Linked DNA regions of Caenorhabditis elegans. The protein of the gene in region 1 purifies or fractionates together with the protein of each later gene. This does not show direct contact. Each region holds a gene or a part of one and is shown on either strand. Other genes may lie near its edges.

Region 1 (4,256 bases):
GCGCTACTCCACCTTTAATATTAATCAAAATATCAAAATATATTGAATAGAGCAATTTTGTTTTCTAGCAAAAATATTCAATTGCTTAAATAAACTGTAGTCTGCTGGAGCCTCTGAACGGAAGGGGCTTAAGGTCGTTGTAACTTATCACCAATTTGAAAATGATCTCGTCTGAAATGGGCTGAGAGTTCAAGGAAATCAAGGTCTTGCAAATGGAAAATTATGTTATGTCAACTTAATAATATAATTCCGTTTATGCAGCCCGATAAAAAATGAAAAGTTAATTATCGACGCCGCCCATTTGTCTGTTGCAGAGCAGCTGCTGCCAAATGAAAACTCGGAATTTTGTTAAAGAGTTCCCTCGCACTTCCACAGAAAGATCTGAACTCATGAACTCTGGCCAAATGCGAGGCGAGACTGTAGAAGTGCGAGGGAACTCTGTGGCAAAATGTTGAGAATGTCCAGAAATTTGAGATGATAATTTCACTTATATAATTGAGATGATAGTTTCACTGTAAAATGTCTCAAAGTACACACTTCATCACTTAAATTTTCATGGATGGAACCATTAAATGTAAAAAAATTCATATAATATCTGTGAATAGTTTTTTACACTCTGAAGTTTTCAAATAAAATTTTACAATTACTGTCAGGCTTTGAATATCTTCAATGTTCTTGTTCACAACATGACTTAGCGAGAGGAGATCCACAAATTTGGTTGGGAAGTTTTTTTGGCAAGTTATTTGGCAATGTTGAAAGAGGCAAGATGTGTAGCATATTCTTAAGGGGGTTAGGATCGATATAGCATGTGATGATAGCCCGGATATGGCTGAAAGTTTAGTGTTGGATTATACGGTAATTCTCCGAGCTTCTCGTTTTTTATACCTACCTGGGTCGCAAAAAAGTATAACCGTAACCAGGAGGAACTCCTCATCGGTGATCTCGAGCTCTATGAGCTTGCTAACTACTCGGCTGCGTATTTGGCGAATAAAGCTCAGCGACACGTTGAACAGTCTGAAATTATTTGATCTCCTAGGATACTTTTTCGTTTTACTTACGTGCTCATAAGATCTGGTACTATTTCATGGCCTCCTGGAGTGGTCAAACGGTCATTATTCCCGCGTACAGTTCTCAGTGAGTTGAATAGCAGTGTGGCTTTTGCAGAGAAATTTTGCAGCAGAACCATCTGAGTAAAAAGCTTGAAGATTCTGGCCTACTTATCGTGTAACCTTATCCGAATGCTCCAATTTTTCCATGAAATCCAAGTTGAGCAGGAATTCTATCGTTGTGTACATCGTGAAAAACCTCCAATCAGCGTCCGACATATCATAGGCGGAACTCTGAAAAACTGTAGAGGTACTAGAAACTCGTGTAACTTCTGGAGAGTTCTGGAAAATATTGAGAGTTCCGATAAGGGGAGTTATATAAGACATTTTAAAACTTTCTGGATATTTCTGGAATTTTTGAGAAACCTCTGAAAATTTCTGGAAGTTTACAAAAAACAGAGATAAATTCTTGAAATGTATACGAAACTTTTTGAAACATTTGTGAAGTTGTGAAACATTTGATAAGGTGCAGATTAAATATTAAAAATTTTAAACTTTGACTTACTTGGTCAACAATTGTCAACTTTTTTCTCCTCGCCACATCTTGCAATTTTGGATTTTCAAACGAAAATTTGTTCAGCAAAACTGTCATTCTCCGAGCATTCAGGTACGAGAGTTGGCTCAAAATTGCCACCAAAGCATGTTCGGAATGAGACTCGATTTTTGGAAGAGTGGATGGTCTTATGAACATTCCAGTGTCCAGACATTTTTGAAATCGACAGGCTTTGCAACGGGGCACACGGCGATGCTCTGTGAATTCTGAAAAAAAAATTTCTGGTTTTTTTTGAAAATTCAAAATGACTTGGACTTCGTTATGGCATTTTTCAAGTACTGGACTGTTCGGAATTTGAAAAAAAAAAATTTTTCAAATTAAATGAGCAATTTCTTATCGATTTTTCAATGATGCACCCAGTTTTATTTGTACAACATTTTTCAGTAATTTCCCCATTAACTTATTCCAAAATATTTCCAAAATACTTTATTCCAAGGTTGAACTCACTGTCAAAGCACCGTTTTTGATAAATACATTCAAATTGTAGGTCAAGCATGATACATCGACGGAAAAACATTTTACACGCGTCACATGAGAAACTCTGAAACTTATTTGGCAAAAAAATTAGGAATATTTTATTCAACAATTTATTATCGTTTTTTTTTCAATTAAATTTTCTTTTCAATATTTTCCATTAAACCTTCTAAACTTACGCCATAATTTTGTCCAAAAGCTGGGCGTTGACATATAGAGCATTGTTTTGAAGGAGAAGTTAGGCTGCACCGCATTTTAAATCCGCGTGGCTCTATTTGCTCACAAATGAGATAGAAAACAGAAAAATTGTAAGATTAGAAATCTTGGGCGGGGTATGCGGTTCTGACTCGAATGTGATGTTATGGGAACATATTCTATGCACTTTTAGATTTTGGTCGAAAACTGCAGCTGACAATGAGTTGTGTTGTTTTCTAGTAGGTTGAAAATGAAAGTTGTGAAATCAAATGTCTAAACTTTGAAAAAAAAACAGAAACCTTTGAACTTTTGATTTCTTGACCATTTTTATGGGCTTTTGGCATTTTTTTTTCTCTTTATTTAGATGTGGACCACGAGCAATGGGGCCATGATTAAACCCCATTTATATGATGCTGAAATGACTGAATATCATAATTAAATATGTTTTAAAGTTTTTTTTTTTAGTTTCGAGACAAAAAGAAAAAATAAAACTAAACTTTTGTGTAAATAATACATTAGCTAATTTCCGTTCAGCAGATATCTTACAAGTTGCCTAGAAGCTTAATTGTACAACCCAAGAACACTCCAAATTTACTCAATTTATACTCCAAATTTTCAAGCAAATTGTGTTTAAATGTATACTAAAAACAAATGTTCAAGTATTTTATCATTTTATTTAAAAAAAAAACAGCTCGTTACAAATTGGGATATGTTAATGGTGGCGCTACAATATTTACATCTCTCATGAAAATTCGAAAAATGATCAATGTATTGATTAAAAATCCAAGATTTCTGGTGAGAGTAGTGATTGACGAAAATGTTTGATAATCAACAGATTCAAACCAAAAAGTAGACAGAACAGGTATAAGATTAAATAAAATAAGAGTCGTCGAGTCGAACATAGCTATTTGGGTAGCCTGGAATTATTATACATAATTTTACGTTAATTTTCTATTAAAGTCAACCTACTCTTGAATAAACTTGAGCCGATTGATTTTGTGCGAGGACAGTGTAAACTACAAGCTTCACTGATAGCAATATAGTCAAAGCTACAATCATACTGAACACAATTTGTTCATTTTTCACCCAATACATAATGTAGCACTCATTAAAAGAGCAAAGAAAATTGTCGCAATCAATGGGAGTATCAATAGTATTCTCACAGTATCCAAACATGATAAATTGATCAAATAATATCAGGAAAAAAATAAAAATGTAAATGGAAAACAATCCAAAGAAGTTAAAAATAAGAGACTTGTACGAATAGTTCCAAACATAATATTAGACCACATTGAGAAAAATATAAAATTTTTGACGGCAAATATGTTTGAGGCTATAATCGCCAATATATACATTTTGAATATACTAACTGAACCAAAAATTAATTCGGTAGATTTTCGGTAACTTACTTGAAAAACTGTATCCAATATCTACAACAAATCTTGTATAAAAAAGGGATAATTCTGATTTAAAAGTGATTTTTTTGAGGCAAAAAATTGCTAATAAAAGGATCAAATTGAAGCATATATTTGAGTAACAAACTAGAATATTTATCATAGAGTTAATGATAATAATAACTGACATTAATACTGATTTTTTGTACTAGCAAGAGCTAAAAGTCCAGTTCTCAAGTATTGAAACAAATATGTCTAGTTTTTTCTCACGATTTTAGAGACTCTCGTAGACTTTGTTTATTAGTATTGTCTGTGAAAACTGAAAATAAAAAAAAAGTATAACATCTTAAAATATTCAATTATCTAGCTTTTCTCACGATTTCATAGACTGTTACGTAACTGGTTATGACTGTGAAAATAGGAAACATAATGTTATTGTTAGGGACAAAAAGATAATAATACTCAACTTTTGTGTAAATAATATATTAGTTAATTTCCGTTCAGCAGATACCTTTCACGCAGTTGTCTAATAGC
Region 2 (2,858 bases), 9.1 Mb from region 1:
AGATGTTTTGACCAACTCACGTCATAACAATTAGCTACAGTATCCTGGCTCGAAATGTTGTGAGCTCGTAATATCCGGCTTTTTTTTCTCACCTTTAGTACTTCAATGTGTTTTCCATAATGACTTAACCTCCAGATGTGTTGGTCATTTAGTATATTTCCTTTTGTCATTGCACAAACGAATCGTATAAATCAAATTTTATAATTTTACACAGAAATTGATAAGTTAGTTTATATTTTAATTTTGCTACACTTTCCAAGCAATATAGTTTTTCTATTGATACCTCGACAAAAGAAATTGAAGAATTTGTTAATACTATGAGAAAAATGTATTATTCTCATGAAACTGTTGAGAACCTACATTTCCTATATTATACATTCCAAATTCTATTTTCTCTTATTTCTCTGCTTCACTATGAAGCTCAACCTGTTTTTTGTTATTTGTATCTTTACTGTCTCAAAAACTACTGCTCAATTCGAGAATATAAAACCTTGTGTGATTTGCGATGATCATTGGTTTATTGTCCCAACCAGTTGGTTAAATATGTCTAAGTATTTGGTAAGAAGAACTCTTTGAAACTGCATTCTGTGTAAATAACCTCTACAAATTTTCAGCGAGGAGGTTGCAATCGTCTCCCGAAAGCTTTAATTTGGCCGTGTCGAGACCTCGTTGACTCAATGAATCTTTGGGATCAATACTCGACTCTTTATCCACATATTGTTGAGTTTCACAAGCAGGCATGCAAAATGTTATGCTGAGAAAAATTTTGAAAATTAATATAAATTTTATGATGATTGATTTTACACATATTCGTTCCATGTCAAGCACCGTCTCGAAATCAGGGAATATTACCCAGTTGCGAGAGAATACGATGTCCGGTCTCGCCACGAATGAAAAAAATCGGTCCACTTAGAGAAGTACAGTAACCAATATTTTAAAAACCTTCTCAGAGCTTCCACGGCCTTCTGGTGCCATATCCTTCTATTAACTATTGAAATGGTGTTTTAATTTGCAACTTTATTGTAAAAACTAACGATTGTTACAGCCAAATTAATAAAAATGAATTCGATCCAAGCTATAAATCTCTCTTCTTTGAAAAAAATCGAGCCGAATAAAACGAAACTATGAAATGAGTGTTGTCTGCGAACAGAGAATGATATTTTAGATATTTCCCCCCAAACTTCGAATTAAAAGATTTTGCCATATTTTGAGCAAGTGATCAAAATCAGAAGATCAAAAAATAAGAGCAAAATTCAAAAATGCATTTATTTTTGACCTGACAAGGAAGATAATTTTAAAAAAGTATTAAATATTTAAGGCAATTTTAGTTATTTTTAAAAGTAATATTTTCACATAAGGTATTTTTTCAATTGTTTGTAAAGCATTTTGAAAGAAAACCGCATTTGATATACCACGAAAAGAATGGCCGGGTCCCGACACGAGCGACACACACAGAACACCACTGCTACCGTAACCCTCTTCAATCTTAATCGCGCATTTTGTTATTATTTTTGTTTTGGGGATTGTTTTTCTATTGAAATTTAGTAATTTTTAAAGTTTTTTTCAAATTAATTTTATTTTAAAAATTGTGATCTTCCAATGCTGTCAATTTTGTGCGTTAACACTTGAAAAGGATCCTCTTCCGTTGAATTTATCATAATTTTTCTTCATAATTTCACATCTGACAATTTATCAATGTTGTTTCTTTCTTTTAATGTTAAATATTTCCAGAACTATGGCTCGTACCAAGCAAACCGCTCGCAAATCGACTGGAGGAAAAGCTCCCAGAAAAGCTCTGGCGACGAAGGCGGCTCGCAAGTCGGCCATTGTCACCGGAAGTGTCAAAAAAGTGCATCGTTTTCGTCCGGGAACAGTCGCTCTTCGTGAGATCAGACGCTATCAAAAGTCTACAGAGCTTCTGCTTCGCAAGCTACCATTCCAGCGTCTTGTCCGTGAAATCGCGCAAGACTTCAAAACCGATCTCCGTTTCCAGTCAGCTGCTATCGGAGCTCTTCAGGTAACGATTTTGAAATCCAAAACGTAGTTTAAAAAATAATTTTCCAGGAAGCTTCCGAAGCTTACCTCGTTGGACTCTTCGAAGACACCAACCTGTGCGCCATCCACGCCAAAAGAGTCACTATCATGCCAAAGGATATGCAACTCGCCAGACGCATCCGTGGAGAGCGCAGCTAGATCCCTGTTTTATTACTGCCCGAATAATTATTTTATCTTTACCGCTTTGTATTAATATTATGCCTCTTGATGAAATTCCGCAACGTCCTTCTCATCACACCTGCACATTTCTCATCCCTGTTTTCTATCGATTTAATGTATCGAATAAACCCTGCGTTCCTTTTTTGTTGCAAAATTTATTGTATTGCAATATATTGGTTACTAGTTCGCCAACGGATTCTTTTTAAGAGTGTATCACGAGTGGAGGCGCAGGCAGACACGATAAGTGCGTCAGTAGTGGTTCATTCCAATTTAAAAAAGAGTGGATTTACGTTAGAAGAGTCATATTAATTTTCCGGTGATAATTCAATTTTCTTTCTATTTAAAAATTCATTTTCAGAGTCTGACATGACATCGCTCGTGGCTTACGGATCTGACAGCGAAGGAGAAGACGATGATTTCTTTGGAAAACCGACAACAGAAAAAGAAGAAACGACGAAAAACGCGGAGAAAGAAAAAGAAGAAGAGGTTAGTTCTATCTATTAAAAATTCCGCGATCAATTCTCATTTTCAGAGCGAAAAAATAGCGGAATCTGATGAAAAGCCAACAATCTCTTCATTTTTCTTCAGTGGTGACGATGATAAAGCAGGATCAAGTGATTCGGATGATTCTGAAGGCGAATCAG
Region 3 (6,953 bases), on another chromosome or scaffold:
AGTAATCACAAAATTCAACAACATGGCAATAATCATTTGTGTTTGGACATTCTAGGAGGTTAGGGACCTGCAGCAATGCTCTAAAATTCTAAGAAGTTTGGCAATTTACCAAATGCTTTAAACTTTGTAAGTTACAACTTTTTTTTTAGACTTACTCTATCAAGCTGCTCCCTCCAATTAGTTTCGAATAATTTAGTAAAATAAGTTCCTTCTATAGATTTCAAAGTAGCTATCCTTGTCTTAAAATATACACCTTCAACATCAAGCGATATTAATGGTGGAGGTGGCATTAGAGAGAAATTAACCACTTAAAAGGTGCGCGCGAATTCAAAAAGTGGTAGAGGTATTCTACCGAAAGCGACTAACAAATAATACCAGCTCAATTTCCATTCTTGGAGTGGGCGCTATTTGTCCAATATATAATATTGGAGTGTAGATTATGTTTGTGTTGGGGTGTGAAAATCATTGTTCTTTTGCCTTTGCCTCACTCGTTTTGGCTTGTACAAAACTTCTTTATACTCAATTGCTCGGCATTTGATGGATGAAGAGTGAACTAAGAGAGGAAAAGTTCGAAATTAATAATAAATTACATCAAAAAAGTAGTAAAATGAAGGAATATGATAGAAATGGAGACAATGAGAAAAACCGTGTTTGGGACTGTAGACGAAGAAAAAGGAAATAATAAGGAATTTGGTGTTTGCATGTTTGAAAGCAGAAGAAAAGAAGAGACAGAATGGGAAGTAGTACAGAAGAAAGGAAAACGAATCACAAGAATACGAGTAGGGTCGGATAAAATTTTGAATTTTACAAATGATGTTTATGGATTGCGGGGAGTTCCTGGAGTTGGTGGCGTTGGTGGAGCAATTGAACTGAACGATGATGAACGGCAAGATTCGAGGGAGGCAACGGATCCTCTGAAAACAAATTGCATTAATAAGGCTACTGTAATGGATAGTTTACGTTTTATGTAGACGCAAAAATTTTGCGAATTTGTGTGCCTAGAATATGGTGCCCGGTCTCGACGCGAAAGTGTTTTGCTAAATAAAAAAGAATGTGCGCTTTGAAAGAGTACTGTAATTTCAAACTTTCTTTGCTTAAATTCCGCCGAAACGAAAGTTTCAAGATACAGTACTATTTAAAGGCGCGCCCGTTTGTATTTAACAAAATTGTCGTGTCGAGACCGGCTACCGTATTCTAAGCGCAAAAATCGCAAAATTTCGAGTCTCCATAATATCAACTGTAATAAATGTGTAAAGAATTTACCGGAAATTTTCAGAGTTTAAAATCTCGTAATAGTAGATGAGACGACATTTGTGAGAACCAAAGTCAAAGGTTGATGAGTGGCCGGCTGCAGTTTCAGGGACTCTCCATTGCATGATATATGTACCAGCTCGTGAGCAATAGTGGGAACCCTAAAAAATACCATTTTTAAATGTATTTTTTATATTTTTTAAGAGTACCTGCATAGAATCTCCTTCCTGGAATACAACTGCCTTTTCCTCTAGACGTAGCTGTGGTGTTCCAATTTTAAGTTCAGGAGCACACTGAAGATCGGGATGTTGATGAGATGCTCCTCCGATTGCTGCAGATACCATCTCAACTGGATTGAGAATGGTTGTTGGTGATTGAGCTCCATCACGGACTGCTGGTTGCTCGATTTTCTAGAAAAATTTAAACGTTTAATTATTGAGAATGATAAATAATGTAGATTTACCTCAGTCGAAAAGTACAGACTGAATTCACAATCATTCTTAAGCACATCGAAATCCCATGTAAGCACGCAGCCAGCTGTCTCAATAGGAATGACAACTTCCACTGGGTATCCTCTCCAGGTTGCAGTACTTGTGTAGGTGGAATGAAGAGGATCTTCAGATGAGCTGGCACCTTCTTGCTCTTCAACTGGAAGGTACATCGATTTTGGAACGTGTCCACCAAGTCCACAATTTGTTGTGAGGCAGGATCCACCCAAAAAGTCAGGAATGAACTTTTCTTCAATATGTTTTCGGAGTTCTTCTTTCAAATCACCTCCGCTTCCACCACTGACCATAAACTTCTGAATATAAAATAATTATTAGTTTTATTCTAGACGGTTCCACCTTACCTTTCTTGTTTTCTCATCAATAAATGGTGAAATTAGAGTCCAAAGTACTGGAAATACTCTAGGTGCACGAACAACTAGAACCTGTCCCATTGTCTCCGGGTAGTTTGCTTCAACAATTTCAATAATCTTCAGAAGACATTGAACTCCAGGCCTCCACAAATGACGCATCGATAGACCATCCAAATCAACGACAAGACTCCATGAACTTATTGGTGTTCCGAGTTTTCTGGTTGCTTCGGCTGCTCGTTGCAGACCATCTTCACAAATCGAAAGAGTCAACTTGACCAGATTCTCGACGCCACAACTACGAAGCATTCCTTTCGTATCAAGTTGCCCGAATCTCAGAATGTACATTGGCCTTCCAGCTTTGTCCGAGTTATGCCAACATCCTGGGAAGTACTGCTTGATCACAGTCGGCCGAGTCCACTCTTCGAGAATCTTATCAACATTGTGTTGTTTCCGCCATATGATACTCGCGTGGACCATATCTTTCGCTTTCGCCACATCGAAATCTCGGGCTCGGAGGAAGCGGAGCAAGTGAGCATCGTTCGGTAGTTTTCCCTGGAAAACGAAATAATTTAATTTCAAGTTCAATCTATTTTGTTCTTTTTTGTTATGTACATACATGGGTTAGGTTCACGTCGATACCCAAAATTTTTTTTATTTTCAAAATTGACCCTAATGCAATTTAATCCCGAAATATGTTATTCACTGTAACTCGTGTCGATTCACAGAAATGATATTTTTCAATTTAATGAGAAATTGCTGCTAAGATTTTTCAAATTAATTACAATAGAGGCTGGTAAATGAACAAGAGTTACAGTAACCTGAGGTTCGCGTGGCGAGACCCATGCGCGTAAGATATCGCAAAAAACTTCATATTTGCAATGAAGCGAAATATTGGAATTTTTTATTACTCAAAAATAGCGGTACTCGGTCTGGATACGACAAATATGTGTTTATACGATTTTCTTCTTATTTTATTTTCACTTAAAAGTGGGTTGAACAAACAATGAATATCCACAACGAAAGATACTTGGGAACTACAGTACTCTTTAAAGGAGCGCATCCTTTTGCATTCAACACAATTTTATCGTGTCAAGACCGAGTACCGTATTTTTAGTGCAAAAATCGCAAATTTCCAGTAAAAATGAGATTTCTAAAAATATTTTATCGTATATTACCTTATGATGTGCTTGAAGACTGTACTTGATCTCACAAAGACGCGATTCTTCCAGTGGGCTCAATTGTCCAAGGAACCTTCTTATGTACTCGGCTTCAAGTTTGGAATCGGCTGAAAAAAAGTTTCGTATTTTAAAAATCACGGATCTTCAGCACAATATCTAATACTAACCAATTACAAATTTAACAGATTTTCTGCGTTTTCCACTTTTATCATATTTTCGTGAAAGCATATAGGCATATGTGTATCTCTAGATAGAAGTTGGAAACAAAACGTTGCAAAGGTAGCTGTTAGGGGAGATTGAGGGGATGAGATCGGTTCCTAGTGAATCGATAGATCGCGCTTCAAGGAGATCGCCGAAGAGCTGCACCTGGGTGAGATACGGCGAGAAGCTTGTAGACGCAGCAGTCAAAAGACCAAACAGTCTGAAGTGGCGCCGCGAGAGTACAAGATATATCCGCGCATGGTGGAGGAGGTGGTGCACTTCTGATTTACTGTTTCGACAGGCCCGTTCTTTGAACTTAATTTTTTTTTGTTTTGAATTTTCTTTATTGAAACTGTGAAGGGCACGACACTCACCAGGAAAATTAAAAAAATAACTACTAATAATAATAAATATTCGACAATAAATAATCATGCAAACACGGCATGCTGCCAATTTGAATTTTGTTGTATTTAGGAGGAGCTAAAAGATATGAAATAACATCACAGAAGCAGAACACCATTCAAAAAAGCAGGCTAAAACATGATAAAAATATGTATTTGGTGCCTAGAACATCGGCAACATGAATAAAGGGATCAGCAAGTGTCGAACCAAAATCACAACGCACCGTCGTCAAAACTGGCAGTTGCACGAGCAGTCCTCATTTCATCCGTCTCTGCAGCCAACATCGGTGGTCTATCGTTAACAAGAACTGCATCACCATCTGATAACTCTTTCATTTCGATTGCCGAATCTGAAATGTGTGTAATAATATCAGTAGGCACAGCACTTGAACGGCAACTCTCTATGTACAAATTATTATTTTTTCATTTATTATAAAGTCAATTCACAACCAACCTGTTGCCGACGTGGTTTCCTCTTGGTCCGCATCTCTAAAGCGTTCGATATGTGTAGTCTTTTTGAGTAACTCTTCAATGAAAAACTCGAGAATTTCCTTTCCCTTGGCCAAATTTGCTCCGTACTGTCGAACCGCGAGCTTCTCAACAGCTGATTCCAGACCGAAGAAGTTTTTCACATCGAGTGATGCTGACTGCTCGAAACACGTCCAATTTTCGTTCTCTGCATGAACCTGCAAACGAAATTATTAATGAAATAAAATTAAGAACAGGCTTTAATAGAATATCATGAATTTTTGCTGGGGTTCAGATGTTTTTCTTCTCGAAAATATGTTGTTTCAAAAAATTATCCAGACGCAAACTTAGATTTTTGGATCAAAAATATGGTACCCGGTCTAGACACGACATTTTTTCCTCAAATGCGAAATGGATGTGCGTCTTTAAAGATTACTGTAATTTCAAACTCTCGTTACTATGAAATCGACTTTTCATAGTTTTCGTTGAAAATAATTTATCTTGTTAGGAAACTGAAATTTTAAAAATTCAAAATATCGTGACAAAAAATATATAAAAATTTTTTTGGCATTTTTGGAATATGTTGATAATTATATTTTATCTTCTGAAATTTTTAGTTTTTATTATTTTTAAAAACTTACATAATATGTACAATTTTCTTTGACATTAATTCTGCTTGAAAATGAAATGTTTGTTGCCTCAATGTCAAGTGTTCTCTTCCTACGATCCAGTGAGTTCTTCTGCGAGAAATACACATAGTCGACTCCGGCAATTTTCTTTACAAGGTAAGGCGCTTCGACGTTGAGCTGACACTTTCGATCAATCACCCATTCTGCTCCATCAACACTTTTGTACTCGTACGTAACTTCTGATCCAACGAAAATCGGGATTTGTGGACAAGTCGGGAATCTCATCTCGTACGCCTGAAAAATGACGTCATTTGACAAATAAAGTTTGTTTTAAATGTTTCTTACCGCCATCACAATTTCGAACGGATGTTTGTAAATACGCACAGGTGACCTGTACGTTTGAACCATTTTTCTACTGAAAAAAAATTATTGATTAGTGAGAAAATTTAAGTTTTATCAGAGAAAGCGCAAAGAAAAACGAATGGAAAAAAGTGCGCTGAGGTTGCCAAGATAGGATCGTCAAAATAAAAAAATATCAACTGTTCCGTGGACTTTTGTTTTTGCCAAGAAAAATAAATACATTGTGAGGAATAGAACCAGGAACTAAAATCTATAATAGTCCACAGTTGTGTTTAATTGTTACAAACGAGACTTTAAAAGTTATGTGGAAGTTTGGAAGTTTTTTTGCGACGCCAAACAAAACGAGAAATATCAAAGATCACGTCACCTTATAAACACACGAACAGGAGTAAGAAAGAAAAATTTATGAAAAAAAAAATCAAGATGACGGGAAACCTAGTGATTAACGGGATTTGATTTATGCTCAGGTGCACTGCAACTTTTTCCTCACGAGGGACGAGGAAAAGTGGTTTCTAGGCCATGGCTGAGGGGCCGACAAGTTTCAGCGGCCATTTATCTTGCTTTGTTTTCCGCCTGTTTTCTTTTGTTTTTCACAGCTTTTTCCCGGTTTTTTCTTATTAAAACTGATAAATAAATACTTTTTGCAGATGCTAAAACAATTTCCAAGTAAAAAAATTATGTATTCAGTGGGCAAGCAGCGGTGAAAGTGGTCAATGCAATATGATGGATTACGGGAATACAAAACCTAAACTTTTTCTGAAACATGATACATACGATGCTTAGATGCTGATTTTCATAACGAGACCGCTGAAAAAGTTTTGAGGTTTTCAAAATTCAACTTTTTGTGCGAAAATCTCGACTTTTTCACCAAAAAAGTTGAATTTCGGAAACCTCAAAACTTTTTCAGCGGTCTCGTTTATGAATCAGGTAGTCTCAGCATTTAAGCAGCATATGTATCATGTTTCAGAAAAAGTTTAGGTTTTGTATTCCCGTAATCCATCATATTACAATGCCCACTTTCACCGCTGCTTGCCCACTGAATACATGATTTTTTTACTTGGAAATTGTTTTAGCATCTGCAAAAAATATTTATTTATCAGTTTTATTAAGAAAAAATGAAAAAAATCGATGAAAAACAAAAGAAAACAGGCGGAAAACAAAGCAAGATAATGGCCGCTGAAACTTGTCGGCCCCTCGGCCATGACCTAGAAACCACTTTTCCTCGTCCCTCGTGAGGAAAAAGTTGCAGTGAGGTGACCGCTAAAAAAATGTAAATATTGATAAGGACATAATAAAGTTAAAGCGACAAAGAAAAAACAAGGAAAATATGATTCAAAACGTATATTCTCTAATCGGAACAATACAATAGCGTCAACAATATGACACATTTATTGAAAATAGAAAATCCAAAAAGAAAATTGAATCAAAACTCTGCTTGGAGCGTAATACAACAATCCAAGAGAGAATAAATGATCTTTCAACTAGCTTATCAGTTTCAAATTCAATACAACCCATCAGTCTATTTCTATCAGAGAGTGACCAACGTTACTGATAAATAGAATACGACTGTTTTGGCTTGAAAAGTCTGTTAGATTGTTTCAAATGA

What was found. The genes of interacting proteins can lie anywhere in the genome.
Region 2: the proteins of nhr-222 (region 1) and his-74 fractionate together in Caenorhabditis elegans (co-fractionation; one large-scale study listed by BioGRID). This does not show direct contact.
Region 3: the proteins of nhr-222 (region 1) and T23G5.2 fractionate together in Caenorhabditis elegans (co-fractionation; one large-scale study listed by BioGRID). This does not show direct contact.

The regions. Positions count from the first base shown.
Region 1 is NC_003283.11:3,541,058-3,545,313, forward strand, and holds nhr-222 (Nuclear Hormone Receptor family), read right to left. Parts: upstream 2,388-4,256; coding exon 2,313-2,387; intron 2,201-2,312; coding exon 2,107-2,200; intron 1,866-2,106; coding exon 1,612-1,865; intron 1,341-1,611; coding exon 1,230-1,340; intron 1,187-1,229; coding exon 1,059-1,186; intron 1,015-1,058; coding exon 890-1,014; intron 830-889; coding exon 585-829; 3' UTR 529-584; downstream 1-528.
Region 2 is NC_003283.11:12,659,204-12,662,061, reverse strand, and holds his-74 (Histone H3.3-like type 2), read left to right. Parts: upstream 1-1,731; 5' UTR 1,732-1,735; coding exon 1,736-2,017; intron 2,018-2,064; coding exon 2,065-2,193; 3' UTR 2,194-2,358; downstream 2,359-2,858. Other genes in the region: W05B10.3 (Saposin B-type domain-containing protein), read left to right, coding at 415-558, 615-758; ccch-3 (C3H1-type domain-containing protein), read left to right, coding at 2,581-2,700, 2,747-2,858. UniProt on the Caenorhabditis elegans protein: Putative variant histone H3 which may replace conventional H3 in a subset of nucleosomes. Nucleosomes wrap and compact DNA into chromatin, limiting DNA accessibility to the cellular machineries which require DNA as a template.
Region 3 is NC_003281.10:9,230,921-9,237,873, forward strand, and holds T23G5.2 (CRAL-TRIO domain-containing protein T23G5.2), read right to left. Parts: upstream 5,403-6,953; 5' UTR 5,396-5,402; coding exon 5,333-5,395; intron 5,282-5,332; coding exon 5,000-5,281; intron 4,577-4,999; coding exon 4,345-4,576; intron 4,241-4,344; coding exon 4,115-4,240; coding exon of another isoform or gene 4,104-4,114; exon of another isoform or gene 3,810-4,103; intron 3,396-3,809; coding exon 3,286-3,395; intron 2,663-3,285; coding exon 2,102-2,662; intron 2,054-2,101; coding exon 1,715-2,053; intron 1,662-1,714; coding exon 1,461-1,661; intron 1,413-1,460; coding exon 1,264-1,412; intron 915-1,263; coding exon 818-914; 3' UTR 501-817; downstream 1-500. Other genes in the region: T23G5.3 (uncharacterized protein), read right to left, coding at 156-290.